4 linked regions of the Lonchura striata genome follow. The protein of the gene in region 1 purifies or fractionates together with the protein of each later gene. This does not show direct contact. Links are inferred from orthologs where the notes say so. Each region holds a gene or a part of one and is shown on either strand. Other genes may lie near its edges.

Region 1 (7,837 bases):
TTACTGCAGAGTGCTTTACTGGCCTCAGGAGTTGACATTTTACAGAAAAAGTTCTACAAAGCAACCCCTTTGAGAAAGTCTCATAGAACCAGCATCTTTTTCTGCCTCTGTAACATTGGTTAAGTAGCCTTCCCTGCAATGACAGTGTGATTTCCATCTGGGTAATTAGGCAATTGAGGCAAAAAAAAAAGCCCCATTTTATTAAATAATCACATCAAATAGTGCCACAACAGTAAAGTGTGTATATGTCAACACAAAATAGCCCAATCATTTTCCTGCAATAGTTTCAGAAATTTTACTAGAAGAACACACATTATCTCCCTTAGTATAGAACAGCAATGAAGAAAGCCTTTTTGTTTGAACAGACAAAAGAAAGTACAAGATCCCTTCTTTTTTCTCCTCTTATATAAAGAGTAAGCTTTGGTTCCAGTAGCCTACCAATGCTACCACACTCCCAGTGCCTGTCACAAGCTAGAGAGTTTAAGAGGTTATTAAGAGAGAATAGACTGTTATAAAGATGGGCACCAGATGAGCTAAGTTATTTAGTATGTTTTAGGCCATAAATCAATCTTTGACAAAACTTAGTGTGCTCTCCAGGCTTCAGAGAACAGAAGTTAGTCTTATCCACTTTGGTTTCACCCAAACTAATTCATTTACTATCAGATACTTTATCAGGTATGAGCTTCAACCTCCTTTCCTCCAGTCCCTGCCAATTCCCACAGCAAGCACACAACCAAAAAAGCCAAAGCCACACCTCTGCTGACTGAAAAGTGTCCCTTTTTTTTGTATTCTAGATTTCTGTGAAAAGCAAAGGACATGAAGAAACAATTACATACACACCCCTTCCAACTTCTCCACCCCTTTTTTCCCTGAGTATTTCCAGTACTGCATCATTAAAAATCCTGTCCTCTCAGAAATGGCCTCTCCATCATAGTGCACACACACACCCCCACGACTTATTTTACCTTCAGGTTTTTTCCTCATTTTCCTTTCCACACCTCTTACCTTCTAGCTTTTTTCAGAGTTTTTCCCTCCTGTGTGCATTTCCAACACACTAAGAAGTGTCCAAAGCCACACCTCTCACAGACTCCAAATATAGAGTTTTTAAAAAAGTGAGATGACAATAAATGTGGGACTATGACTCTCTTGGAAAGCAAATCTACAGTGCTACACTTTATGAACAGTTACAAAGATTATAATTGAATAAATTTCCTGAAAAAAATCTTGCTGCTTGATTAAGAAAAACTATAACTGCAATTTACCGGCCATGATCTATGTTATTTTAAAAGAAGTGAGAGCTTAGCTCAGATTTAAACAGGCTTTAAGAAACAATCAGTAAACATTGTGCTCAATCATATAAAGCACCTGAGCAAGCATGTAGCTGCTATCACCTGGGAGGTTCACACCTTAGCCTAGCCACCTGGAGCAAGTGCCAGAGAAATCATCCATAGACACACAGACATTACCAAATATTAAGTGTGTGCACTTACATGTTAGAAAGATGTGAAGGATTGAGATATAAAACCGCAGAGAGATTGACCTTCCTATTATCCCACAGATGAACATTTCAGAGGTTTCACAACTGCAGTGCTCATCAGTTAACTATATGGCTGGTTATAACTCCTGTCCAAGTTTACGCTCTTCTAAAAATACAACAAAAAAAGAAGAAAGAAAAAAACCCCAAGAAATAGTCCAAAAAAACCTACACCAGTACACGCAAAGCCAGAACAAACAACTTCCATGAACAGCAGCTGAGGTTAAAAACGAAGCAGATTGATTTTCTCCTACTGCTAACCTTCCAAGAGTGATCAACTGCAGATGTCTCACATTTGAGGGCTGAATACGTGCAGATTTTGAAGAACACTACATCTCTCTAACCTATAATTTACTCAGCTCTCCAGAGTCAGTCAAAAGAAACTCCACTCACATTACTGAGTTTTCTTAACATTTTTGTCAGTTTCTTAAGGAAGTTTGGACTGAGCTACAAAGGAAAACTTTCTGCTCTCAGCTAAACTGGCATATATCCAAATCTACCTCATTGTTCTAGAAGCAAACATATGTGAAATCAGAGTCCCAGCCCATCATTTTATTCTAAATTTAGTCATTACATTGATACAACTTCAGAGGATTGTAGTTTCTCTTTCTAAAAACCTATCTTCAGATTCCAGCTTTGTAAAAAAACCCACATTAAAAGTCAAGTGGACCAAATTCTTTATTGATCAACAGGTTCTGCTTTCTCAAAGTTCTGACACCAATTCACAAAATTAACAGTTCTCATCTGTCAATTACTGTACCTACATAGCATATTCACAGGTACTACGAATAATCAAATTGTCATTTCCTTGCCAATCTGTGTTATTTGGCCCAGTCAAAAAACAGATGAGACAACCCATGAAATTTCAATCAGAATAGGTATGAAAGATGCCAAAACGAGGACAAAAGAGTAATATCCCAAGTTTATTCTTTTTCAAAGCATCCCTCCACAAAACATTCTTTCCAAATTACAGGAAATATGGCTCTTTTGAGATACTACTAAAATGAGAAGAAAAACTTGTGAGGTGCCAAGGACCTGCTCTAAGTTTACATTCAGAAGTACCAGAAGGCACACTAGGCAGAACTTTAAAGACTCAAAACAAGTAAATGCTGAAGTCACCAGAATTTAATGCATAGTTTAAGAAAATTAGGGACATTAAGACTTTCAAGCAGACAGAATGATGCTAAAATTTCTGCCATGAACAAGTCACTGTTGTAGGTGAAAGGGAAGCCCACAACACAAGCATTAATTACCAAGAGGATCTTGTGTCTGTAGGTGTGACGCAGCCAGAGCTCACACAACGCTTTCAATGGAGCAGCACCACAGAAAACAGCCTTTCCCCACTCTGTTTCCTGCCATGCCCTCCACGACCTGCTCTGTTAGAGTAAATAAACTTTTGCAAATTTAAAAAAAGCAGCTCTCATCAAATGTAGATGATAAAAGCAGACCCACATGCCTGGATCTTTTCATCTACCACAGCCTTCAGAACACAGGGAAGCACTCACCCAGCGGAGCATAACAGGTCTGCTGGTCAGTATGCCGAGGTGCAGCAACCTTGTACTTTTTCCATACAACTTTTTTGGCTGTTTGAACGCTCATGATCAAGCTCAGTTTTTGAATAACAGGAAAGTGAAGATGCAGAGGAAGTACACGCTAGTACCCACGCAAGAACTGCATGCTGGGATTCTAGGGGGAGGGAAGCACTGGTTTTCCTCTGAGGGTTTGACACATTCAGCCACACAGTGACTGACAAAACCAGTCAGGAAATAAACCTTTAAAAAGGCTGCACGTTAGCAAGTCACAGGCGTCCAGCTACTTGAGATTTCTTTTCTCTTTAAAATCAGATAAATATGCTGCTTTGCTACTCCTTATGAAAATAGGATGACACCAGCTTTCAGAGAACAGGCAAGTTAAATTCTACAAACTGAAAATAGGAAAGCTGATGGTAACTTTCCTTTTCTGTTCAAATCAAACTCTGGTCAAGCACCATACTCATTTTAAATATCCTAAATACTTTTAGCATTCATTCTGTAAAAAGTTTGCAGTATCATTATAACACTTTTTTCACACATTCAACAGAACATAAAACCAGAACAACTCTTCAAAGTAAGCATCCACATCTTTAAATGGCCTTTCAAAAAAGCACAAGAAAATTTAAACATAAGATTATAGCACATAAAGGAAGTTGTACAAGTAGAAAATTACAAACTCTGATTAGGCATGCCCTCTCCACTGTGCAGTAATTCCAAACAAGACAGAGCAAGGAACAGTAAAGCAAAAAGTTGGTAATGCAGGGCTATGATAAGATCTGAGTTATTTTCAAGTGGGTCTTTAAATTTTGCTTACCACCAGTACAAAAAGCAAATTGAATCCCTCTGTCTTCCAAAGCCTGTTGCCATCTCTATAACCAAATTAAGAAGAATCCAAATGCTGTAGTTATGCAAGACACTCCATATCCCACACTTTTGGATTCTGAACTGTACAGAATTCCAAAAGTCACAACAAAGTAATGCAAGAAGAGATTAGCTAGAACACGCAAGTACAGGCACTATAACCAGAGAAAAGAGTTCTAAACCATAGAATTGGTTTCAAAACCAGAAAGATAGAGGCTGTTTGATTTGTCTGCCTGTCTCATTGTATCATGCTATAAGACAAATGTTCTTGATACAGCTCTCCTCTCTTCATTGATATCCAGTCAGGACAGTATTACACCCCAGACACTATTCAGAGAAGGGAAGGAGGAAGAAATCAAGATTAGATCTTTCTTTAAATTTTTGTGGGCCAGAAGTTGGTCTTACTTAAATTTGTGGGTTGGATGTTTTTTCCCCGAATTCAAGAATTCCTCAAAGTTGAAGGCTGAAAGGCCTCACACAAAAGGAGTTTTGTTTCCATGAATAAAGACAACCATACATTCAGGGGGCTAAATCAGACATTTGTAGCCAAACATTTCTGTGAACCATGCTAACAAGACCAAAGTGGAAAGGCAATAAAAGTTTTAAAGTTAGAATTTCTATTTTAGAAACAAACAAGTATGTATTTTGTAAATACAAATACAAACCTTACTGTGCACCAAGCACTTCCCAAGCATAAAACAAAGATGCGACCATCTCCACCAAGGAAACGATGAGAATTAGCACACAGACCTGCACATATGCCAGAAGTCTTACCAACAGCACCACATGCTCCTTTTTTCAAGTTTTGAGATGAGAGTGGTCTGAATCCCCTAAGAATGCTCGCCTGTATATCCAATACCTTACCTCACCTTAGTCCCTGCTGCTCCAAGGCCCACCCACACTTGGCAAGACTGAAGAATAAGCACAAGTTTCACGAGTCAGCTAGTCTGTGACAACATTTCTGGGTTTACCAATTCTCAAAGGAGGAAGTGATTGCAGTCAGTGAGAGCAGTTAGAGAAACACCACTCTGATTCCACCGACCCCTTGAACTGCATTCAATGTGAAGGTATTAGCAAAGCTGAGTAAATCATTCATGCGCCAGAGCTTCCAGAGAAGCTCAGCCCTCAAGCTCTGCCTGCCACCAGCAGCTGCGCCATGAACATCAGAGAAAACACTTTTATCTAACAGCAGGTTTTACCTCAAAAATCCAACATTTCAACAAGAATATACACTGAGAATATTTATTAACTTAAGGTGGGGGGAGGGGGAGGTGGGGGGTTGTTACACTATGTTTAAATTAAAAAAAACAAACATCTCTTGCCTAAACAGAAATAGAATTACTAGCATGAAATAGTTTCATATCTGAACCCATGTGCAAATAAGTTACCTTTAGGATGGCAGGAATATTTTTAAGCTAAATTTTAAAAGTGAAACCATGGTCTCTATGAATATCTGCAGTATTGGGTGTGAAATCCATACATTAGCTGCAAGAGCAGATAAACAGAAGGGAAATAGAAATTTCTGGTCAAAGTAATCTTTGAAGGCTGCAAAGGAAGACTTTTTAAAAAATATTTTAACCTAACTCCAGAGCTCAATAGTATACTCTCTACCCATAAACTACTTCATTCATTACGAGGAAGATGGTCTTATTTCTACTACTACTGAATTCAACATTTATTTAGTAGCTCTCTGACTGGAGTACGTGCTCTCTTCTATTCTCTCTGGTGTTGACAGCAGTAATCAAATTTTGTACATGCCACTGGCCCTATTATAGTTCCAGAGCAGCTGGCTGGTTGCCTAGGCTTCTTATCATGTATGATAGAAAAGACCAGCTGAAACTACTGTGGGAAGACAGAAGTAGAGGGAAGCCTAACTAGAAGCCTAATAATTAGAAATCACGTCTTTTTATATTTGCCCATATATTACAAAGCATAAAGAACAATGCTACACTCAACACATGACAAGCTTGCTGTAATAGTTTACAGAAGGACTGGAACTCAGATGACAATTCAGCCCTTGTTGAAGAGTAGGTCTAAATTCCATACTTTATCTGTGAAGCACGACTTAACTATATCTTAGTTCACAGAGCAGGGAATGGAAAAGCAAAAAACCACCTAGAGTTGGGGGGAAAAGGGAAAAAACTCAGATAACTGTATTCATTCATTTAAAAGTGAGCTCATAAATACTTAAGTTCACTTTTCTATCACAGCCCCAGCATATACACAGTCAGCACAGGGTTCAGAGTAAAATTAAAGGTCACAGAGGCAAACAACAATGGGACCAGAGGGCAACATCCTTTAATTCTAAAACTCCCCTGTATGTAAGACAATCTATAATGAAATTGGTTTCCATTTCTTCTTTGCCTTCTGGGAGCCTTCCAAGAGCTTTGAATGCCTTGACTCTAAGAAGAGGAAAATGGCTTCTTTTTCACAGCCTGTCTCCTTCCAGCTGTGTTCCAAGTAGGCCTTGAGTAGCCCTGCTCTGAACTTCCACTTTTCCAAACTAGTCTATAGAGAAAGGCTTGGGTTCTTGGCAGAGGAAAAAACAAATCTAAGGGACTTCTTATGGGAGCAGAACAAGGAGGTACAGAGCTCCTCCTTCACCTTCCTTCTCCAAGGTGAGAGCCAAGCGTTTTCCTAGAGGGGAAGCTCAGCCTTTCTCAAGGTTCCTGTGTTACCTGGCTAGTTCTACCCTTTAAAATACTGCTATAATGAGCATCTGGTTAAGAGCTTCTCATGCTCTGGGATTACCACCCCATAATTTTGTTCAGGATGTTTTATTTCACCACAACAACCTGACAACTTTTTTAGCTGGCCTGCCGCACAATTTGAATTAGCAGGCCACACAATACTTGTTTCAGCAAGCAAACAAGAGCTTCAAAGGAGATGCTAAGAAGGATGGTGGAGGGGCAACAGAAACTTAAAACAGAAAGTAATGATTCAAATGCTTGTTGCATTTTGATGGAAACTAGTTATTAGCTTATCCCTTACTTCCAGGAAACCCACAACACCAGCAAATTCAAAATGAGAACAATGAGTTTTTAGCATTTCTATTGAAACCTTGTTTCACACAGCCAGGTTCATGTCAGCATAAAGCTTTCTACTGAAAAGAACATTATCAATACAGTAGATGCCCTCATTACTGTGGAAGAGGAACAGCGTGTGTGGTGGCTAGTGGAGCACTGCAGTACAGATAACAGAGAGATATTCTCTCAGTGCTCTCACAGGCAGCTCCAACACAAACCTTTCCAGCACACAGCGCTTCAGGCACTTGACACATGGGTCTCATAAAACTGCATGTCTTTGGCTGCCACAAATAACTGACTCATCCTGCAAAAGAAATAATAGTAGCAACTGTACATAAATTGTAATGCCTTTCAAGAATCACCATAATTTTGGTATTTTTTGATGTTCTTCTTACAGTTTCCCTTTTCCTTTTGTAAAAGGGAATATTTTGAATGTAAATACTAGGGAAATCTATGGAGGACATTAATCTTTGGAAAGTGTTGCTTACATTATGATCACACCTGTAAAATCCAGCCACATCCAAACAGTACTTGCTTTTTGCAAATCATCCCAGGCCACCTGTTTACAGCAACTCATAGGAGTGACTCATAGGAGGTCCACAGGAAAAGTAGGAGCCTTCTGCAGTTTGCTTGTCATTTAAAATGCTGAGCACATCTTCCAAAGCAAGGTTCCTGCCCATTCACAGGTACCTTTATAAACCAAATCCTAATGAATCTATGACAGATGCACTGTTCAACATTTGTGTGCTCATATGCTGGGATGTAACGTGCATTTCAGCTGAAGCCCAGGCACTGAGCCTTGAGTAACAGCATGCAAGTCCAAGCACAGGAGAGGAGCCATCACCTGATCTGCCCCAGCTCCACCAACAAGCAATCCTGGTGGT
Region 2 (7,061 bases), on another chromosome or scaffold:
GATGGGCACCGGGATGGGCACCGGGATGGGCATTGGAATGGGCACCGGGATGGGCACCGGAATGGGCACAGGAATGGGAATGGCACTGGAATTGGCATTGAAATGGGCATTAGAGTGGGCACCGGAATGGCCATTGGAATGGGCACCAGAATGGGCGCCAGAATGGGCACCGGAAAGTCACTGGAGTGGGCACCAGAATGGGAAGTGGAACGGGCACCGGAATGGGCACGGGAATGGGAATGGCACCGGAATTGACATTGGAATGGGCATTAGAGTGGACACCAGAATGGGCACCAGAATGGGCATTGGAATGGGCACCGGAATTGCCATTGGAATGGGAATGGCACCGGAATTGGCATTGGAATGGGCATTGGAACAGGCACCGGGATGGCACCGGAATGGCGGCAGCAGTGACAGCGCTGAGGCTGCAGGGACATCACTGGGTACGGTGTGATGTCACCAGGTACGGTGTGACATCAGCAGCCCCGCAGTGACGTCACAGCCCAGCAGTGACGTCACCGGCCCCGCAGTGACGTCACAGCCCCGCAGTGACGTCACCGGCCCCACCATGACATCACCGGCCCCGCCGTGACGTCACCAGGCAGGTGTGAGGATCCCGGTGCCGGGAGGCGTCGATGCCGCCGGCAGCCGCCCACGCCAGCGGCACCAAACCGGTGGCAACGGGAGCGGTGCCGGTGTCCCCGGTGTGACCGGGACCCCCGGGCACGGCGCGGCGGCGGCAGCCGGGGAGGCAGCGCTGCTTCGTGCGGCGCCGCTCAAATGTCAGCCAAATTTAGGTATTTTTGATGGGTTTTTTTTATCTCCGACCCCACCGGATCGGGTTCTGTGTGAGGGAGGAATTGGGGGCTGGGGGGGCAGGGAAAGACCCCCCAAATTCAGCTGCTGGGGCTGGGGAGGGTGCACAGCCCCCCCCACACGGCGCTGCCGCCCCCTCCCCAAATCTTCCCCACCAGGAATAATTCTCCTCTGGCGTTACATAACAGCGGATAAATAAGAGGAAAACCACCCAAAACGAGGAGGGGGCCCGATGCCACAGCCACAGAACAGGTGGCATCGCCTTGTCCTCGGGCTTGGGGACACCGACACGAGGCCACCTGTGCCCCCACACGCCCTGCTGGGGCCACCCCCAGCACTTGGGGTCACAGAAGGGGGGAAGCCCCCCAAAACACCGCCCAAAACGGGGGTGTCACCCAGCTGGGGGAGCTGAGGAGACCCCCAGGTGCTCCCCAAAACGGCTGAGCCAACAGCGGGGTCTCCCAGCAGCCACAGAAAAGCTGGGGGCAGAGAGGGACCCCAAGAGCCCCCCAAATCCGCCCCCTAAAACGGGGAACCCCCGTCCCAGCTGCCCCCGGAGGAAATCCTCCCCACCCCTCAGACAGACAGGGGGGCGCGCCCCCCGTTCCCCACCCGGGGTGGGGGGCTGGTCCCCACTCACAGGGGTCGGAACGGGAGGGATTTGGGGGGGCTCGCCCCTCAGAGCCCCCCCAAAGCGGGGGGAGGGCGCCGAGCCCGTGCAGCGCTGCCGCCGCCCCCACAGCCCCCCCGGCCGGGGGGCTGCAGCAGGGAAGGGGGTGGGGAGGGGGTGGGCTGACGCCCCCACACCCCGAGCGCACAGCCACCGGGCTGGGGGGGGACGGTGACACCCCAAACTTGCCCCCCACGGCGGATCCCAGAGCCTGGGGGGTCAATGTGGGGGTGTCTGGCACCCCCCCTTTGCTTGCCCCTCTCCCTTTGGGGTGCAAGGCGTGACCCCCTCACCCAAAACCGGGGGTCATGCACACAAACCCCCGCTGCTGCCCCGCAGGGAACCCCGAAATGGGACCCCAAAATCTGGGGAGGGGCTCATCCCAGAACACTCTCCCTACAGCAAATCCAGGCCCGAAGGGGGACATGGCTCAGGACCCCCCACCCCACAGGAGGGTCCGGGCTGTGGGAGACCCCAGGCTCCTTCACAGGGCGCAAGAGAGGAACTGGGGGACACCCAGACCCCCCTTTTCCACCTCACAGAGGGGCCCGAAGCCCCTCAGAGCCCCCTCTTCCCTCACAAAACAATCCCAAACCCCTTCAGTCCCTCTTTTCCATTCACAGAGAGATCAGATCCCCCCAGATCCTCTCCTTTCTCCACATAAAATACCCCAGGATCTCCCTTTTCACTCCCAAAAATGCCCCCAGACCCCCTCAGACTTCTTTATTTTCTCTATCGCTCAAAAGCCGACCCAGGTTGCCATCAAACGCTCTTTTTACCCCACAGGATTTCTCACACCCCTTCCAGGCCTCCCTTGCCCCTCACAAAGAGCCCCCAGACCCTTTCTGCCCCCCTTTTCCCTCACAAACAGCCCCAGACCCTCAGCCCCCTTTTCCCCTCGGATCCCCCTCAAAACCCAGCCCAGATCCCCCTCAAAACACCTTTTTACCTCACAGAATTACTCAGGCCCCTCCAGGACCCTTTTCCCGGACACAAACGCCTCAGACCCACTCAGTCCCCCTTTTTTTCCACACGGACGGGACCAGAACCCCCCAAATTCTTCTTTTTGCCCCCTCAGATCCCCTTTTCCCCCTCACAAACCGACCCTAAACTCCCCATTTCCCCTCACAAACCATCTCGCCATCCCCTCAAGCCCCTTTTTTCTTTCCTCAGATCCCCGTTTTCCCCTCACAAAAACCCCCCAGGCTCCCTCAGTCTCCTTTTCCCTTCACATAAAACCCCCAGGCTCCCTCGGATCCCCCTTTTCCCCTCACAAATCCCCCCCGGCTCCCTTTTCCCCTCACAGAAATCCCTCAGTCTCCCTTTTCCCCTCACAAACCCCCCCCAGGCTCCCTTTTCCCCTCACAGAAATCCCTCAGTCTCCCTTTTCCCCTCACAGAAATCCCTCAGTCTCCCTTTTCCCCTCACAAAAACCCCCCAGGCTCCCTTTTCCCCTCACAAAACGCCCTTTTCCCCCCGGCCGCCCCTCTCCCCCCATCCGCACCCCACCCCCGCCGTCCCTCCCTCACCTGCTCCGCGTCCCTCTCGTTGACGGTCGGCAAAGGGCTGCGAGCGCTGCTCGACATGGCGGCCCCCCCCCCGCGCCGCCGGCGACTATCGCGATAGGGGGAAGCCGCGGCAGGCAGGAGGCGTGCGGGGAGGGGGAAGGGGAGGCGGCGGAGCTCAGGGGGCGGGGGGGGGCCAGGCCAGCGGCATTGGGGGGGCCGGCAGAGGAGCAGGGGGAGCGGGCGGGGTCCGCCCGGCCCGGCCCGGCCGCCGCCGCCGCCGCCTCACGCCGCCGCCGCCTCAGCGCCCCGCGGCTCCCAACATGGCGGCCGCCGCCGGCCCTCGGCCATTTCCGCCGCCGCGCCGGAAACAGCCGACACGCCTCCCCGCGCCGCTTCGGCTCTTCCCGGAGCGCTTCGGGGCGCGGCCCTCACGGACTTCGAGTGTTTCCGCCTCCGCCGCGGAGCTACACGAAGCGTCCTTCGGCTCTTTCCGCCGAGCGCAGCGGGAGCGGCCGAGCGCCGCCCGCGCCGCCGCGGCTCCGAGCGGAGCCGGAAATACCCGAGTGGAACCGAAACTCCCGAGTGGATGCGGAAATGCCCGAACACCTCTTGGCAGCCTTCGGGCGCTTCCGCCCGTGCCGGAAACACCCGAGCGGAGCCGAATGCCCCTCCCCAGCCCCGATGGGGACCCAAGGATGGGGCGGGGGGCGGCTCGGACCGCAGGACCCTCCCCGAGTTTGGGAGACTTTCATGGACCGCAGGAGGCCCCCCGAAATTGGGGGCTTCTCATGGCCGCAGGACCGTCCCCGAATTTGGGGGACTCTCCCGGACCGCAGGACCCTCCCCGATTTTTGGGGGTTCTCCCGGACACCTGGACGCGCCCAGATTTTGGGGCAAGGCGCGCCTTGTCTGCACTGGGAGCACGGGGAGGGGGCGTGTCCTCACCCCGCCACGCCCCCTTTGGACCAAAGGGGCGGGGCAGGGATGGGTGGGGGGGTCCATGGGTGCCCCATCGCTCGGGGCACCCCAGGGCGCTGCTGCGGGGTGGGGGCGGGGGAGCATCCAGGGGGACCCCCCTTAAAATCACCGCTGTGGCTCCTCTGGAGCGGGGGGTGGGCTGCGACCTGCCGGCAACTCATCGCCCCCTCCCCGTAGCCCCCCGTAGCGGGGAGGGGCGGGGGGGGGGGATGGGAAAGGCGTGCGGCCCCTTTAAATTTACCCAGGAGCCCTTAAAGGAGCCCCAGGGGCCCCACGGCGGCGTCCCCAGCCCGGTCGGCCCCCGCCCGCCGCCGCCGCCGCCCCGGGCCCCGCCGTGGAGCCCCCGGGCCCCCACCCCGCCCCCGGCCCGCTCCCGGCCCCGGCCGGCCCAGGTGAGCACCGAGAGGGCGGCGGGGGAGCGGGGGGCGCACAATGGGAGCGGCGCTGGCGCTTTAAGAAGCCCCCCGACCCCCCCCCCCAGCCCTTTGCCGTTCCCTGTCATGGGCTGGGAGGCCCCGGATTCTTTAACGGGTTCCTGGCCCTTTAAGATGACCCGATTCAATTTAGGGTGTCCCGTGAAGATGCCTCCATCCCTCTAAATTAGCCCGGTCCCTTTAAAAGGTCCGCAGGACTTCAGGATGTGCCCATCCAATTCGGGATGTCCCTGAGCCTTTAAGGTGTCCCTGTCCCCTTAAAGGATCCCCGTCCCTTTCAGATGCCCACAGGAATTTCGGATGTCCCTGTCCCTGGAGGATGCGCCCCTCCCTTCCCCGCCCCCTCCTCATTTACGGACCCTGCCCCTTGAAGCGCGCTGCCCCTTTAAGAACCCCCTGCCCCTTTTAAGATCTCCTTTTTGCTGCTCTGTCCCTTTAAAACCCCCCGGCCTTGCCCCACATCTCACCCCTAATCCTCGGTGTCCCCTCCATCCCTTGGACCCCTCAAATCCCCCCTGAAATTCCCCCTGAACCTCCCCCGATTCCTGGACCTCCCTCCCCGGCTTTCCCTGCAGCCCCTTCCCCGCGGGGGCTGCACCGGACCATGGAGCCGCAGAAATCCCGGGAGAAACCCCAGGAGAAACTCCAGAAGCAGCCCCAGAAACCCCGGGAGAAACCCCAGGAGAAACTCCAGAAGCAGCCCCAGAAGCTCCAGGAGAAATCCCAGGAGAAGCCCCAGGAGAAACCCCAGGACAAGCTCTGGGAGCAGCCCCGGGAGCAGCCCCGGGAGCAGCCCCGGGAGCGGCGGGCGTCACGGCCGGGCCGGAGCCGGGTGCCGGGCCGGGACCACCGCCGGTACTACCACGAGCGCTGGCGCGCCGAGTACCTGATGGAGTTCAACGCGGCGCGGCGCGGCATGCGCTGCCTGGTGTGCGGCAGCGCCCTGGCCACGCTCAAGCTCAGCACCATCAAGCGCCACATCCGCCAGAAGCACCCCTACTCCGGAGCCTGGGGGCCCCGCGAGAAGCAGCTGGTGCTGCGCTCCTGGGACGCCCACCCGGGACGGACCCCCCGGCCCGAGGGACCCCCCGGCGGCGCCCACGGGACAGGTACGGGCCGGGCTGGGGGTGGGGAAGGTGGGGCGCGGCACCTTTAAGAGGAGTGGGGTCGCTTTAAATGCGGCCACGCCCCTTTAGGAGCAGCTCTGTCCCTTTAAATGTGGCCACGCCCCTTTAGGAGCTGCGCTGTCCCTTTAAATGTGGCCACGCCCCTTTAGCAGCTCTGTCCCTTTAAATGTGGCCACGCCCCTTTAGCAGCTCTGTCCCTTTAAATATGGACACGCCCCATTTAATTTCAGGCCACGCCCTCATCCACACTGACCACACCCACTTTTACCGTAGCCACGCCCCTTTTCGTTAAAGCCCCGCCCTCTACACACCACGCCCATGATCTGACCACACCCTTTGCTAAACCACGCCCTTTAAAGGGACACTGTCCCTTTAAGACAGGCCCCGCCCGACCACGCCCAATCCCTCAGCCCCGCCCCTCTCTGGGGCTCCTCCCATGACCGCAGTGCCAGCCCCGGGTCCCCAAAGTGTCCCCAAGGTGTCACCAATGGCCCTGGGCCTGTCCCCGAGTGGTCCCCAAGGTCCTCAAAGTGTCCCCACTGGCCCTGGACCTGTCCCCAGGGTCCCCAGTGCATCCCCCCAGCCCGTCCCCACCGCAGGACCCCGTCCCCCTCTGTCTCCCCTGGGTGACAGCCCGTCCCCACCGCAGGGCCCCGTCCCCTCTGTCTCCCCTGGGTGACAGCCCGTCCCCGCCGCAGGGCCCCGTCCCCCGCTGTCCCCGCTGCGGCGCTGGCTGCGGGCCGAGCTGCGCCTGGACCTGGAGGCCGGGGGGCTGCGGCTGCGCTGCCTCCTGTGCGCCCGCGCCCTGCCCTCGCTGCACCTCGGGGACATCCGGCGGCACGCGCTGGCCGCGCACCCCGGCAGCCTGCGGGGACACCGGGGACACGGCGGGGACGGGGACGGTGAGAGGGGACACGGGGGGGACAGGGACAGCCCTGGTGAGCGGGGACATGGTGGGGACAGCCCCGGTGAGAGGGGACAGGGGGACACTGGGGACAAAGTGCCACCCCCAGGGAAAACCCCAGTGAGCGGGATCAAGGAGGGTTTGGGATATGGGGACAGTGGTGGCTGTGGGGGGGAGCCGGGGACACTGGGGACACCGGGGACACTGGGGTGGGTGGCACTGGGGACACTGGGGACACCGGGGGGGTGCTGGAAGCTTTGGGGACACTGGGAGCGGGTGGGGACAGACGCAGGGGACACTGTGGGGGACAGGGAGGTGACAGGAGGTGACAGCGCTGTCCCCACCAGCCCTGCCAGCCCCCGGTCCTGCCGAGGAGGAGGAGGAGGAGGAGGAGGAAGAGGCCGCAGGGGGGGAGGGGGCCACAGGAGCCCCCCCCGCCTGAGCCCCCCCGGGATGGGGACACTGGGAGGGGGTGGGGACAACAGGGGACACCCCAGGGGGGCAGCGGGGACACCAGACCCCCCCCATCAGTGTCCCCAGTTCCCCCCCACCACAACACAGCCACTCCTGTACCCCCCGGTGTCACCCCCCGGTGTCACCCCCCGGTGTCACCCCCACCCCCCG
Region 3 (7,882 bases), about 63 Mb from region 1:
TCCCCTGGCTGCAGGGAGCTCCTGGGAGCCCTGGCTGTGCCCAGGGTGTGCCCAGGGTGTGCCCCGGCTGTGCCCCGGCTGTGCCCCGGCTGTGCCCCTCGGCTGTGCCCCGGCTGTGTCCCGGCTGTGCCCCGGCTGTGCCCCAGCTGTACCCTGGTTGTGCCGCGGCTGTGTCCCGGCAGTGCCCTGGCTGTGTCCTGGCTGTGCCCCAGCTGTACCCTGGCTGTGCCCCGGCTGTACCCTGGCTGTGCCCCGGCTGTACCCTGGCTGTACCCTGGCTGTACCCTGGCTGTACCCTGGCTGTACCCCGGCTGTGCCCTGGCTGTACCCTGGCTGTACCCCGGCTGTGCCCTGGCTGTGCCCCGGCTGTACCCTGGCTGTACCCCGGCTGTGCCCTGGCTGTGCCCCGGCTGTACCCTGGCTGTACCCTGGCTGTACCCCGGCTGTGCCCCCTGGCTCCCTGCAGGCGCTCCCGGGTTCAGGCCAATACTACAGGACCTTGCTTAGCAGGTTCCGCTCTTCTTGGAGCTCATCAGCTGTAGGTACAGCCCAAGGACAGCTCCAAGGACAGCTCCAAGGACAGCCCAAGGACAGCCCAAGGACAGCCCTGTGCTCAGGCAATCACCCCCGAGCTGCGGACGGGCTTGTTCTCACACCGGGGAGCACAGTCACACAGGATCAGTCACACACGGGATCCCAATCACACGGGATCAGAATCAGACATGGGATCCCAGAGTCACACACGGGATCCCAGAGTCACACACGGGATCACACAGTCACACACGGGATCACACAGTCACACACGGGATCACACAGTCACACAGGATCACAGAGTCACACAGGATCAGTCACACACGGGATCCCAGAGTCACACACGGGATCACACAGTCACACACGGGATCACAGAGTCACACAGGATCACAGAGTCACACAGGATCAGTCACACAAGGGATCACAGAGTCACACACGGGATGACTCAGTCACACAGGATCACACAGTCACACACGGGATCACACAGTCACACAGGATCAGTCACACACAGGATCCCAATCACACGGGATCAGAATCATACACGGGATCACACAGTCACACACAGGATCACACAGTCACACACGGGATCACAGAGTCACACAGGATCACAGAGTCACACAGGATCACAGAGTCACACAGGATCAGTCACACACGGGATCCCAATCACACGGGATCACAGAGTCACACACAGAGGATCACTCAGTCACACAGGATTACAGTCACACACAGAGGATCACTGTCACACACAGAGGATCACTCAGTCACACACGGGATCACACAGTCATGCGCGGGATCACTGTATCACACACAGTCACACCATCAGAATCACAGTCACACATAGGATCACAATCACACAGAATCACTGTCACAGTCAGAATCACTGAGTCACACACAGGATCACAATCACACAGAATCACTGTCACAGTCAGAATCACTGAGTCACACACAGGATCACAATCACAGAATCACTGAGTCACACACAGGATCACAATCACACAGAATCACTGGATCACACACAGGATCGGAGTCACACCGTCAGAATCAGAGTCACACCGTCAGAATCACAATCACAGAAATACAAACAATCACACAATCAGAATCTGTCACACACAATCAGACTCACAGTCACACACAATCAGGATCACTGAATCACACACAACCACACAATCAGGATCACGCACAGTGACACCAATCACAGAACCAGAGTCACTCAAAATCATACAATCAAAACCATTGAATCACACAAAATCACAGAGTCACACACAGTCACAGTCCCACACACAGTCACACACAATCACACACACAGTCACCAGGCTGGAAGAGACCTCCACGACCATCGAGTCCAACCCAGCCCCAACACCTCAACTGAACCCTGGCACACAGTGCCACATCCAGGCTTTGTTAAACACACCCAGGGATGGGGACTCCACCACCTCCCCAGTCCCTGGGAATTCCCAAAATTCCCAGAATTCACAGAATTACCAAGTTAAAAGAGACCTCCAAGACCATCGAGTCCAACCCGGCCCCAGCACCTCAACCCATCCCTGGCACCCAGTGCCACATCCAGGCTTTGTTAAACACACCCAGGGACGGGGACTCCCCCACCTCCCCGGGCTGCCATCCCAGAACTTTATCACCTTCCTGGGAAGAACTTTTCCCTAATATCCAGCCTGAATTCCCCTTGGAATTCCACAGCTTGAGGCTGTGACCTCTGGCTCTGTCAGTTCCTGGAGAAGGAGCCCAACCCCAGCTGAGCACAGCCACTTTCAGGAGCTGTAGTTTGGCTTTGCAGTTGTTTTGTTCCAAGTTCATTTTGTTTCATTCTGTACTTCCACCTTTAAGGAACACTCCAAAGGAGATTCTGACCTTTAGGGTTTGAGAACCACTTCCAAACATTGCTTCGTGCTGAGCCACAGCCTCATTGGCCAAAGCAGGAACACAGAAAGAAAAGTTCATTTACCAATTATTAAATCTGACTTGGTTCACATTCTTGGCGTTGCATGTCATTAGCAGAAATAATATTTGATGTCACTGATTAAATTGCAGTTGCTGCATGAAGATAAAATTGTGCCCATAGCTATTTATGGTCAGAAATAAGTTGTAATTAAAATAAATCCAAAAGCCAGTCTGGGGCATGGGCTGATCTGAGCTTGACACAGGGAAGGAGGTTCAGTGACTTTCTGCTGTTTTCCTGATCAGAAGGAACAACTATTCCTGCTGTTTCAAGGAAAAGCTTTCCTCCCTTGCCAGTGCATTCACTCTTAAAAATGTAACTTTAATAAATAACACAGCTGGGATGAAGATATTGAATAAAAAGGGAGGGCACACCTGTGCTGGCAGAAAAAGTTACTGGTGTCCATCTGCTTTGGCACTTCCTTGCTTTGGGCTTCTGAGCTCGTCTGACATTTCATTGAACCCATCTAAAATAATTTCTGAACTGTCATAAATGTTTTGTTAAAGTATAAAATTAAATTTACTTATGATATAAAGGTGCTTATATTTGTTCATCTCAGATTTCAATAAAAACATGAAGTATTTTTCCTTTTCTTTCCTAATTTAAAAAAGGACCCCACAATTACTGATTTAATCCCCTCCTCTCCCTCTGTCTATGCAAAATATCTGATGCTCTTACTCATTTCTTTGTTCTCCTGGTTCATATTCCCAATCCCTTTCCTCAGCAGTCAAACATAATAAATCTGAAATACTCTTTGTTTGTTCCCCTGTGCCTTTTCCCAGGAAGAGGAGTGACCTCAAAGTGATTTCAGGGGACCACATCTGACCCCTGGAAAAGACAAACCTTCCATTCAAGTAGACTACAACATCTTTTAAAGCACATTTTAACCACTTCTGACAGTTCTTCTCATTTACCTTTAACATTTTAGACACCAATTGTAGCATAAGTAACTGAAGCAAAAGCAGCTGTGCACAAAAGTATGAAAAGTACCCTAAAATGTTATTTCTGCATCTCCAGCAAGTACAGGAGCATCTCTGGGAGCCACCGTGCACCTTCCAGCAGCAGCTGCCCCAAAAGCCAAAAGTTTGGATTTCTCACTGATGTTTTCACATGTGCTGGACTCAGATGATTGTGCAAGATCTCTGCAAACCCAAACTGACTCCGGCCTCAGAGGGTGTAAGGAAAAACCCACATGGCCAGGAGCCAGGAAAGGGACTGTAACTTCCCAGTGATTACAGCTCTGCAGTGAAATTCTAAACAAGTCAATGGCTCCTTTTTTTATCCATAAATCCAGTGGATCCAAAGCTGCTCTGGAAGATTCTGCAAAAACCTGCCCAAAAAAATGCAGGAAGCTTCATTAAAAATGAACAGGCAACTCAGTAGCTCAGGAAAAAAGACAGTGCTGAATCCTAAAGCCTGCCCTCCTGCGTGCCTTGCCATTCCTGCTGGGACTGAGAGGTTTTTCCAAGGCACAAGAAGCCATCGGGTTTGTTCAGGCAGGACAAAGCTGGTGGCAGCACAACCCACTGAGCCCTCAGTGCCTCCAGTTACTGGGGTGGAAAATCACTGATGGACAGGGACATCCTGGCTGGAAAAACCTGGGCATGGAGGCACATCCTGGGCACGGGAACGGAGGGCACCAGCCTGGCTCAGCCCAGGGACAGCCCCAGGGGGGTGGGATGTGGATGGGCTGGGGGCAGGGAGCTCTGCAGAGGGACCAGGACAGCCTGGAGCCATGGGCTGGGTGCCAGGCTGAGGGACAGCCAGGCCAAGAGCTGGGTCCTGCACTGGGGTCACAGCAAGCCCATGGAACACCCCAGGATGGGAAGGGAACGGAGCCCCAGGAGGGGCTGGGGAGCTGGGAAGGGGCTGCAGAATTCCTGAGGGAGCTGGGAAGGGGCTGCAGAATTCCTGAGGGAGCTGGGAAGGGGCTGGAGAGTTCCTGAGGGAGCTGGGAAGGGAATGGAGAGTTCCTGAGGAGCTGGGAATGGGCTGGAGAGTTCCTGAGGGAGCTGGGAAGGGAATGGAGAGTTCCTGAGGAGCTGGGAAGGGAATGGAGAGTTCCTGAGGAGCTGGGAAGGGAATGGAGAGTTCCTGAGGAGCTGGGAAGGGGCTGGAGAGTTCCTGAGGAGCTGGGAAGGGGCTGGAGAGTTCCTGAGGAGCTGGGAAGGGGCTGGAGAGTTCCTGAGGAGCTGGGAAGGGGCTGGAGAGTTCCTGAGGGAGCTGGGAAGGGAATGGAGAGTTCCTGGGGGAGCTGGGAAGGGGCTGGAGAGTTCCTGAGGGAGCTGGGAAGGGAATGGAGAGTTCCTGAGGAGCTGGGAAGGGGCTGGAGAGTTCCTGAGGGAGCTGGGAAGGGAATGGAGAGTTCCTGAGGAGCTGGGAAGGGGCTGGAGAGTTCCTGAGGGAGCTGGGAAGGGGCTCAGCCTGGAGCAAAGGAGGCTCAGGGGGACCTTGTGGCTCTCACAGCTCCTGCCAGGAGGGGACAGCCAGGGGGGGATTTGGGATCTGTTCCCAGGGAACAGGGACAGGACAAGGGGAAATGGGCTCAGGCTGGGCCAGGGCAGGCTCAGGGTGGGCAGCAGCAGGAATTTCTGCCTGGAAAGGGAGCTCAGGCCTTGGCACTGCCCAGGGAGGTGGTGAAGTCTCATCCCTGGAGGTATCCAGGGAATTCCTGGATGTGGCACTCAGAGCTCAGGGCTGGGGACAAGGTGGGGATCACTCACAGGCTGGACTCACAACTGAAATCATTCTGTGATTCCAGAAAAAATCCCCTGCTCTAAGCCCCAGGGCAAGCCCAACAACCTCACCTGGTCAGAAACTGATAAAGGTTGTACTGGATTCAAGTTCAACAAAGATGGCATAAGTCACAATATTTAATCAGAGGTTTCTTTGAAAGCCTTCCAAAACTTTTAACACAGGTTCCCTCCAGACAAAACAGAACAAACTCAAATCCAGGAGAGTTCCAAAGCACCCGAGTTTCTGTGACTTCACATCAAGTCACAGAAACTCAGGTGGTTTGGAACTCCCAAAGTCCCAGCTGAGTGTCAGTAAGTGCTCCAGCACTGAGTTCCAGTGTCAGCTGAGCGCCCAGAGCAGAGAGAGGATCCCTGAGGAACTTGCAGGTCAGGCTAAGAACGGGGAGGTGGCAGTGGCACTGAGGTGCCAGCCCCGCTGCCAAGGTGCTGTTTGAAGCTCACTGCCCTCTGGATCCATTTTCACTCCCCAGGGAAGCACTCAGCCTGGCCCCAGGAGCCCTGCAGGCCAGCACGGAGTGTCTCAGCACAGATTTGGCACAGGCAGCTCTGTTCTCCAGCTCACACAGCCAGGGCGCAGAGCTGGCAGCACACTCAGTGCCACAACACCCAAACCAGAACCAAACCCTCATCTTCCTTCACTGTCCCACAGCCTCAGGAGTAGAAACGGCTTTTTACAACCTGCCTGTTGAAATTAATGTCTGCTATGGGATTTACCAGGAGCAAACAAGAGCAAATCCTGCAGCTGAAATTGTTTCCTTGAAATACAGCAGTGCTCCTGTCGGGTAAGAGAAAGGAAATACTGCAGGAGGATTTTTGAGCAGTAAGAAGTTGGACACAGACTAATTAAGAGCTTACCCCTCCCTCTCAGGAAGGGAAGACTTTTTGTGGAGGGGATTTCTGAGCACTCCGTGCTTCTAAGAGAAGCTGGCGAAGCCTCCCCTCTCCATCCCAGCCCACAGGCCCCAGCACTGCTTGCAGAGCACAGGAGAGAACTCTGCAGCTGCCTCTGAATGCAGTCTGCATTGCTGGGAAGGGCTCTGAGCTGCATTCCTGCCCTTTTCCCATCACCCCAGACTGGAGATGCAGCAGGAGCAGGTCCCACACAGCTGGCAGCTCAGGGCTCTCCCAGAGCTCCCTGGCACACCTGGGGAGGAGGGAAATTCCAGTGAGGAACACCTGGAAACAGCAACTGCTTTCCCCCAGCACAACTGACTTCAGGATAAAACAGCTTGCTCAGTTTTAATTCATTAATTTCACCTCCTACATTAACTTAGGGTGTGAAATCTTCCTCACCACCTTCACAGGTCTGAACTAAAATAATTCTAGGTTTGTGAAGTGTTAGATATTACCGAAAGGGTACAGGAGTACAGAACCATTAATCTGCATTTAAAAGTCTCTCTGCCACTGCCCCAGGCAATGGGAACTGAACACCTACACAGGGCTGATAACTTTAACTTTGTCTGAGCTGCCAGACACACAACACCTGCTTCAAGAGCCTGGCTGCACCCAAACTGCTCCAGCTGTGCTCACAAAGGGGCTTCCTTCCACAAGAACATAAGCCTGAAGTAAAAGTCCAGCTGATGACATTTGCCATTGCCTTCTGTAAAACTAAGGGGCTTTATCCCTTAGTTTTGTCGCTTTCTGTTTTAATAAATAAATAAAAATTTAAGTTAGGGCATCAGCTCCCTCCCTGCTTGCTTTATGCCAGGACACCCCTTTGCCCCCCACCTCTTAAATCACAGAATCACTGAGGCTCTCGTTCACCCAAGACCACTGAGTCCAACCTTTGACCTAAATAAAGTTAAAAGTTGCACTGACAAAGTCTGAAAAATACCTCACCTTGCAGTCAGTCAGCAGCTACTTAAGTTACTTTAAGTGCTAACCACAGCACATCCTTTAGACATGTAACTCTTAAAATTTAGCGATGAGTTGGCACCTGCTGTCATAATTCTATTTGTTTCCACCTGGCCAAATATAATGTACTACCTGCTGTGGAATGTTGAGGTCTCCTACTGCTTCTTCCAGATCTGGGCTGCCTAAAACTCTTCATTACATAAGTTTTTTTTAAATAAATCTGTATTATTTAAGCACAGGTGAGAAATTAAAATAGTTCAGTCCTTACAGCCCACAGGACTGGGAAAGGCCCATAAAACTATTTAAATTTAGGTACAGTTTAACAATAGAAATCTGTTTAAACACTAAACCAGAGATGACAAATTCATGGTTCCTTCTACCTGGAACCAAGGGGAAAACAATTAACCTAATAAAAATATTATGAATTCCAATCTTATCACCTGAATCACTGTATCTGAGTCCCTCTTTAGGCTCTCTAAAGCTGCCCCAGAGCAGCCCATGCAGGCAGGCTGAGTGTGGAGCTCAGGGTGGCTCAGGCACCAAGCCAGGCCCAAGGCCTGGCTTTAATCTTCCAGATGTGGTTCCTTCCCTCCTCAGAAACTGCCACAGCTCCCACAACACACAGCTGAACACACCCACCCTGCTTTAAAGGGTTCCTAAGTCAGAACACCCACCTTGGTTTAAAGAGCTGTCCAGCTGAGAATATCCACCCTGGTTTAAAGAGTTCCTAAGTGAGAACAGAACTGAGAACATCCACCCTGGTTTAAAGAGTTCCTAACTCAGAACA
Region 4 (7,433 bases), on another chromosome or scaffold:
GGGGAACGAGTAGTTCAGGCATGTTCCTCAGAAAGGAACTTAAACTTGGCTGCTACAGTGTTTGGGATCACTGAAGGAGCTGAACTCCCTTCCAGCTTTCTCATTATTTGCCATGTTTCCAGCACTGGCCTTCCAACACTGGACTTCCTTCCTATCCAGATCTGTCTGCTGAGCTGGTCGGTGTCAGGGTAACAAGATGGGAATGTCATTATCCAGACCTGATTTTGTCCAACCTCCGTCAGCTGAAGCATGTTCAAGGATCACAACCCAGTTTTTTCCAATTTAAAGCAGCTTTGGCTGAGCTGGCTTTAAGCTGTTGTAACACTGATAATGCAAAAAGGAAGAAAAATAAGATACAAGAAGGGTTTAAGCATGTCCCAGAAGTCCTTAAAAAATTACACCTCTGCTATAGAACAGCACAGACAGTCATAAAGAAGCCACAGCTATAGAAAGGCTCTCTTGTGTCCTTACCTTCTCTGCCTGTGAGGGAAATGGGAACTATGTTCCCTGTAGTGCTGAGTGGTGAGCTTGCATATGTGGCCTTGCAATGATTTTGCTATTAGGACGACAGTTTATGTACACAAGATATGAACACTGGCCTCTGCCTGAAAAAAGGGAAAAGCCCCCATTAACAGGCAGTGTCCTCATTGTCTCCAGTAGCCTCTACAGAAAGTTGAGCACCATACCCACAACCCTTTCTGCACAGTTTTTCTTGTACTTTTGTTCTTGCACATACAGACCCCAAATCCCTTGATCTTGCTTGGACACCTGGGCAGTTCCTCAGACATCACTTCTGCACTTTATGACCTGGACATGCTTTGGTGCTCCTTGTCCTGGGAAGCAGCTTCTGTGTTTTTCAATGCCCTGACTTCTTCCAGTTCACTGAACTGCTTCTTCCATTTAGGCCCTTGACTTCAGCTGAGCCCATGGGCCCCTGCAGGTCAACAGCAGCTATTAGCATTATTTTGCCTAACAATTTGTTTATATAGCAGGAATGAAAGGGACACTAATCTAGTTCAAGCATCTAAGCACTGCTAAAATACAAAAATCAAAAAATTATTATTTGGCTTGTTTGAAAGATTCCATTCTTCACATCAAACCCTTTCAGAAGGAAAACTGATGGAGAGAGAGTTTTGCTAAGCCTTGTCTGTGCTGAACGGCTTTCTAGTGATTAGAGATGGAAGTTTGGAAGTATTGAGTGCTTTGCCCATCCCACCACACATCTCAGCTTCTTTACAGAGAGTCACTGAACACTGCAATTGCAGTGTGAGTAATTACAGATGCTGCCAGAAACAAAACTGTCAGGGAAAGTTTGTAGTTGAAATCAGGAATTTGCTTTCTGCTATGCCCTGGAAAACATTAGGGACCAGCAGCTGACTTTGGAATAACAATTTTCTGTGGCAAACCTGGGCATCCAATATCTGAACACCCAATTAAATGCCTGGTTTTATCTTCTGTTTCTGCTCCTGCTGCATAAACCTGAATTTCAGAAATCACAATGCAGGTGTGACTGGCAGACCTGAGGCAGGACTGAAGTCAGTAATGTTGGTAGGGGTACCAGCAGAGAAATCTCAAGACATCTTTTCTTTCTCACCTTCAGTTCAGCAGCCCAAAGTTGCTCTTGGGGTACACAAAGACTCAGGGTACACAAACAGAATTATGAGCCTGCACTCCCAGGACAGGGAACACACGCATCAGTATCAACTGCAGTGTCTTCAGGAGGAAAGACAATCTGTGGCACTGTTTGCCTCGAGCCTGTGCCTTAGCATCTCTTACACTACCTTTATTTTCAAGACTAAAACATCACCTCCATTTTCTTTACAGTCCCAAGGTGGGCAAAAAGGGGGAGGAAGAAGCAGGGAAGGCTGCTATGAAGTTTATTTTGTACCGGGGATCCATATCTCAGATGAAGGTCCTGGGAAACTTCATTATGTACCTCAGTTGGAATGAGAAAGCAAAATATCTGGAATAAGCACAACTCTCAGCTACATGCAGTGCAATTGTCTATACAAGTGAGTTCCATGGGAATCTACTGGAGCACCAGGAACAGTCAGCAAACATGGCCCAAACACACAGTGTGCCAAAGAAGGGTGAGGCATTAAACATTTACTTTCCTTTCTCTATTACCTTTGCACAACAGGACAGAAACCACCTAAATATCTCTTCATTATAAATTTTCTTGAACTACTTCAAAAATACACTTTTCCATTAGCAGCAGCACTCATCCTTTATTAATTACTAAAGAAGAAACATAAAAATAATTGGTAAGAGCTGATCACTTGGAAACAGATGTCTGATTTTATAACTTGACCTGGACATTTGTGCTTGAAGCTACACAGGAGTGTGAATGCTACAACAACAGGCACGGTAACACCTGATTTTGCAAACCTGTCTGTTCCCTCCCATCCTTATTTTACAAACCTAAAGCTGCTGGAACCAAAGGAGCACATTCATTAATTATGCTTTGCACCTGGGAATGGGATCTACAAAAACCCACCAACCCAAACATCCAGGGTATTGTACATGAGCTACTAAATGAGCAAGGGAGGAATCAGGTGGAGAAAAGGGTGTGTTGCAGCCTGCTCCTGCACAGGGATTAGGTACCTTGTTCAGGTTTAGCGGGACATGCTTCTTTTCACTCTGGATTCACAGCCCTGAAAACTTAATTATAGCTTTTCACCTTGCATTGATTAACATGAGAAATGAAGAGCCCTCTCTTCCGTCTGCTTTTTCTCCACCCACTCATTATCCTTGAATAACACATAATTTGGATTCTCACTCTCCATAGGTGCAGGGTTGCATTCCTACTGGGGAGGAGGGATCCATAACCTGGATGAGGCTGCAGATGAACTAAAGTAGAGGCCTCCTTTTGGAGGGAAGAAGCATGGTCTGAGAGACCCTACTAAACCAAGACAAACTCGTCTGAGGATGATCCCATATATAGGTCCCACCACAAAGTGAGGAGGTGAGTCCCAGGTTGGCCAGCCCACATTACCCTGGGGCACATGTGTGTACCTAGAAACAAATCCCCAGTGTCAGAAATGAATGGCATCACTTCAAAAAAGGGCAAGATGGAGCCCTTAGGAAGCCACATGACTCACATGGCTGAAATGATTGGGACTATCCAAAATTATTTGGACTATCCCAATATCCCCAACTTCTCTGGCTATCCCAGCCTCCACAAAGTGTTGTCTATACATACACCAGATGGTCCAGAAGCACTGGAGTTTTCATTCCAGCTTAGGAAGAAAGCAGAGCTGCTCTGCAAGGAGCAGAAACAAAGGCAGTCCTGGAGGTGCTTCCTGTCTGCAGCTGCTGTGGGGGAGCACCTCCAGGCCTGCTGAGGACATTTCTGAAAGGCAACCTGAAAGCATTGCTTTCTCTGATGCCTGAGCGGGAGCTTTAAGCCCCTTGTCAGGGGTCTATTGTTTCCTAGGAGGGCAGAGAGTATGGGAAAAATTGCAAAAAAAGACATGTAGCCCCACAAGTCTTTAACATTTGTAATCAAAGGGCATATAAACAATTACTAAATGTGCAAAAGTATCAGTCACAAACACTTAATACCTTCATCCTACAAAGCCGTGAAATAACTTGTATTCTACTTCCATACCGCTGAAATTTAAGTACTTGGGGCCACCCGTTAGTTTTAATTCACTTTATAGAAAAATCCTTGGGAATAAAACAGAACTGGGTTTTCCTTATCTCTTCCCTGCCCTTGGTTTCCTACAGCTCCCCGCTACACCCCACTGCAGACGGCAGCTGCGGGGCTGGCACTGCCGCTCCGGCGGGGCCCCGCAGCGCCAGACGCGGCCACAGCCCGGGCTCGGAGGGAGCCGGGGCTCCGCGCGGGGGTCCCACGCCGTGTCCCCGAGGGGTCCCATGCCGTGGGGCTCGGAGGGAGCCGGGGCTCCGCGTGGGGGTCCCACGCCGTGGGGCTCGGAGGGAGCCGGGGCTCCCCGCGGGGGTCCCACGCCGTGTCCCCGAGGGGTCCCATGCCGTGGGGCTCGGAGGGAGCCGGGGCTCCGCGTGGGGGTCCCACGCCGTGTCCCCGAAGGGTCCCACGCCGTGGGGCTCGGAGGGAGCCGGGGCTCCGCGTGGGGGTCCCACGCCGTGGGGCTCGGAGGGAGCCGGGGCTCCCCGCGGGGGTCCCACGCCGTGTCCCCGCGGCAGGGGCGGGACGCCCCGGTCCCACTCCGCCCGCGGGCGGTGCCGCCAGGTGCGCCCGCCCCGGCGCGGCCCCGGCGGGGCGGCCGCGGCTCCTGGCCCCACCCCGCCGCGCCGGGAGCTGCCGCCCCCCGGCTGAAGTCCGGAGCGGCCGCGCCGTGCCGAGCCGAGCCGCGCCGGGGGTGCCGTCACTCGGCGCTTCCAGCATGCTCCTAAGATGGCGGTAGCGGCGGCGGGCGGCGGCGGGGGCGGCCGGGCGCAGCGCAGCGGCTGGCTGGAAGTTTTGGTGCGGGAGCGCTGGCACAAAGTGCTGGCCAACTTGGGCGGCGAGGCGCTGGTGCTGAGCGGCGAGGAGCGCCCCGACGGCGCGGCGCACAACGGGCTGGGCGGCGATGGGACGGCGTGCCGCGGGGCCGAGGGCGGCGGGGGGCCGGCGGCGGCGCGCACCGCCTTCACCGACCCCCCCGAGCAGGTGCCCGAGGCCATCTCCAACAAGAAGCGGTGCGTGAAGGTGCTGAAGCAGGAGATGGGCGGACTGGGCATCAGCATCAAGGGGGGCAAGGAGAACAAGATGCCCATCCTCATCAGCAAGATCTTCAAGGGGCTGGCGGCCGACCAGACCCAGGCTCTCTACGTGGGCGATGCCATCCTGGCCGTGAACGGCACCGACCTGCGGGATGCCACTCACGACGAGGCGGTGCAGGCGCTCAAACGGGCCGGCAAGGAGGTGCTGCTGGAAGGTAGGGGAGCGGGGCGGTCCGGCCGTGCGCACCCGGGAGCGGGGGCCTGTGGGGCGGGGCGGCTCCGCTGCCCGAGAGGCGGCGGAGCCGAGCTGGGAGCGAGGGGATGACCCCGCGCATCTCCTGCTGCTCCTCCGAGCGTCTTTCAGCACGGAGAGTTCACGCCCTGTACGCGCTGGGACCCTCGACGGCGTGTGTCATGGACACAGCCCCTCGGCAAGGGACGAGCGGGATGCCGGGGAGCCGGGCTTGAACTTTCCGCTCTCGTATCCGCCGGTGCAGTCCCCACAGCCTCGTCCGTGCGCGGTCGGTGGAGGCTCCGCAGCCCCGTCTGGTCGCGGCGATGCACCCAATACACTCAATATCTGCTCCTGGGCTGAGGCTCCCGGTAGGAGCCTGACCGAGCCTCCTGCAGGGTGAGGGATCCTCTGGATCTGCCGTCAGGACGCTTTCACATCTTTTCAGTACAAGAAAGGTGGGGAGAGTTGGGTACTTTGAGAGGAGAGGTTAAACAAGTAAAGGAACCCCTCCTTCCTCCCCTGGCATTAAGGGAATGACATGGGTGACTTTGCCCCAGTCATCTCGAAACGCCCGACACCACCCTCTCTCCAGTTCCTCCTTCCACCACGTACTCCCGAATAGGGATGTGGGGTGGGGGCAAAGCGGTTTAAATGAAGCTGAAGGTGCCTCACGGACTCACTAGCCATCCCACCCCTGCAAAGGAGCGCCCTTTCCTTTCTCAAGGGTGGCTGAAACAGTTTTGTAAAAAGTAGCCTTAGAAATTGACCTCAGAGAAAAGAGCAGACGCTGGTGTGCGTGGAGGGGACGTGGAGGGAGGGTGTCCCCCCAGAACGGGACGGATGTTGGGGGAGAGCGAGTAGAAAAGCACAGGCGGTTTCCCTCAGACTACGAGTCCATGAGGAGAGAGGCGTGCACAAACGTTTAATCCCCGTCTTTTCACAAGGGCTAATTTACTTGCTCCACCTGAGAGAATGAACAGCTTCAGAACTGCCCTTGGCGTGTGTATGATAAAGTGATTACATATTTGCCCACGAGTTCATTTAACCGGAGGTCAATGGCATTTGAGGCATGCTGCATCGCTGCCTTCCCCTGTGCCATCGCTTTCCTGCCGGCACTCCCACCTCGCTGTACCTGTAGCCCTTTCCGTACCGCGCATTTCTTTCTGTGTTTTTTTGGTGGTTATTTTGAGGAGCAAAAGGAGATGCTACCGCTGGCTGGGAGGTGCAGCTGAGGATCAGCCATGAGCAGCCAACTATGGCATAAATTTGCAGAAAAAGTTTGAAAGGGAGAGAAGGTGACAAATGTATTCCATAGTAGTGTGTGCTGAGAAACTCTTTTGTTGTCCCTATGACAGTGAAAACTGGAGGAGTTATGCTCCATGAGGATTTAAGAAGCTGAGGACAATTGTGTCTCCTCTCCCTCTGTGCCCTGCAATACCTGCAGGACCGAAGTGCATCTTGTCTTCCCTTGCTGCAGCTGAATTGATTACAGCTATACCTCTGAAGTATTAATATGAACTTCTCTGAAGTGGGGCTGTTGCATCTAAATTTTGTCACTGATTTGCTTGTGCAGTGTAAGGTCTTTCTGGGGTGCCGTCAGGTAGTGGCTGGGCTTTTGCTGTGACCTAATGAGTAATGTATATGATGCTTGCAAATCTCCCTGCCTCTGTGTGGTGAGCCTTAAAAAACCCTGTTTTCTTCCAGGCTAGGAGTGAAGATGAAGCCGTTTCAGTGGGGACTCTGAGCACCCTCCTTCACTCCTTTTGACATCACAGCTGTCTTGCATTTCTTTGCTCCGTGCTGAGGTGCCTCAGTAGTTGTTTCTGCAATTGAATTTGTAATTTGCAAAACGAGAATATATTTCAGTAGTGATCTGTATATAGAGGTAAAATATTCTGATGCTGCACTCCGTATTTTGTCCTGGCTTTCTCTTGCTATTTCAGCAGAGTAACCAAACCAAACGTTGGCTCCAGCATTGCCTGGGAGGGCTTCTCCCTTCAGTGGGGACCCACTCCACATGAATGGCGTGTGAAAACAGGCAGCTTAGAACAATTCTCTGTGATTTTATTGCCCACTTTGAAGCTCATTCTTCAGCAGCAGAGTCTAAAATGGTATGTTTATTACTAAAGGAAGGAAAATGCAGAAGTTCTTTTTACTCTTTAAAGTATGGAAGGGTAACACTTGATTTTCCTTTCCTTACAGACAATAGGATTTTGCCATTTCCTGACTTCTTAGAGAGTTATATATGGCAAAAAGCAGGCTGTGATGGGGCAGGGCAACACCCTTGTGCAGGTCCTCTCTAGACTCTATCCAATTCACAGAGCAAAGTCAGCATGTGTTTCCAGGGTCAAAATGTAAGATCTACATTTTGGGGAGATTCTGAGATTTGTTTGTGTCTTCCAGCCCAGGAAAGTCAAATTTGCAAAGGCATGGCAAGGTGTAAAGCACAAGAAACACATTTAATGGTGCAGCAGGGCTCTGAGTATTGCCCAATGCATTGTGCATTCCT

Evidence for each region.
Region 2: the proteins of UTRN (region 1) and MARK2 purify together in Homo sapiens (affinity purification with mass spectrometry; 4 studies listed by BioGRID and IntAct, with this or other methods). This does not show direct contact. The link is inferred for Lonchura striata from reciprocal best matches to the Homo sapiens genes UTRN and MARK2.
Region 3: the proteins of UTRN (region 1) and DTNB purify together in Homo sapiens (affinity purification with mass spectrometry; 3 studies listed by BioGRID and IntAct, with this or other methods). This does not show direct contact. The link is inferred for Lonchura striata from reciprocal best matches to the Homo sapiens genes UTRN and DTNB.
Region 4: the proteins of UTRN (region 1) and SNTB1 purify together in Homo sapiens (affinity purification with mass spectrometry; 3 studies listed by BioGRID and IntAct, with this or other methods). This does not show direct contact. The link is inferred for Lonchura striata from reciprocal best matches to the Homo sapiens genes UTRN and SNTB1.

What each region holds. Positions count from the first base shown.
Region 1 is NC_134605.1:49,975,988-49,983,824, forward strand, and holds the start of UTRN (utrophin), read right to left. Parts: upstream 3,135-7,837; 5' UTR 3,134-3,134; coding exon 3,040-3,133; intron 1-3,039.
Region 2 is NC_134638.1:332,670-339,730, reverse strand, and holds the start of MARK2 (serine/threonine-protein kinase MARK2), read right to left. Parts: upstream 3,160-7,061; 5' UTR 3,073-3,159; coding exon 3,016-3,072; intron 1-3,015. Other genes in the region: ZFTA (zinc finger translocation-associated protein), read left to right, coding at 5,011-5,515, 6,232-6,435, 6,785-6,879. UniProt on the Homo sapiens protein: Serine/threonine-protein kinase. Involved in cell polarity and microtubule dynamics regulation. Phosphorylates CRTC2/TORC2, DCX, HDAC7, KIF13B, MAP2, MAP4 and RAB11FIP2. Phosphorylates the microtubule-associated protein MAPT/TAU.
Region 3 is NC_134605.1:113,405,582-113,413,463, reverse strand, and holds the start of DTNB (dystrobrevin beta), read right to left. Parts: upstream 3,100-7,882; 5' UTR 2,952-3,099; coding exon 2,860-2,951; intron 1-2,859.
Region 4 is NC_134603.1:13,522,260-13,529,692, forward strand, and holds the start of SNTB1 (beta-1-syntrophin), read left to right. Parts: upstream 1-4,299; 5' UTR 4,300-4,381; coding exon 4,382-4,904; intron 4,905-7,433. UniProt on the Homo sapiens protein: Adapter protein that binds to and probably organizes the subcellular localization of a variety of membrane proteins. May link various receptors to the actin cytoskeleton and the dystrophin glycoprotein complex.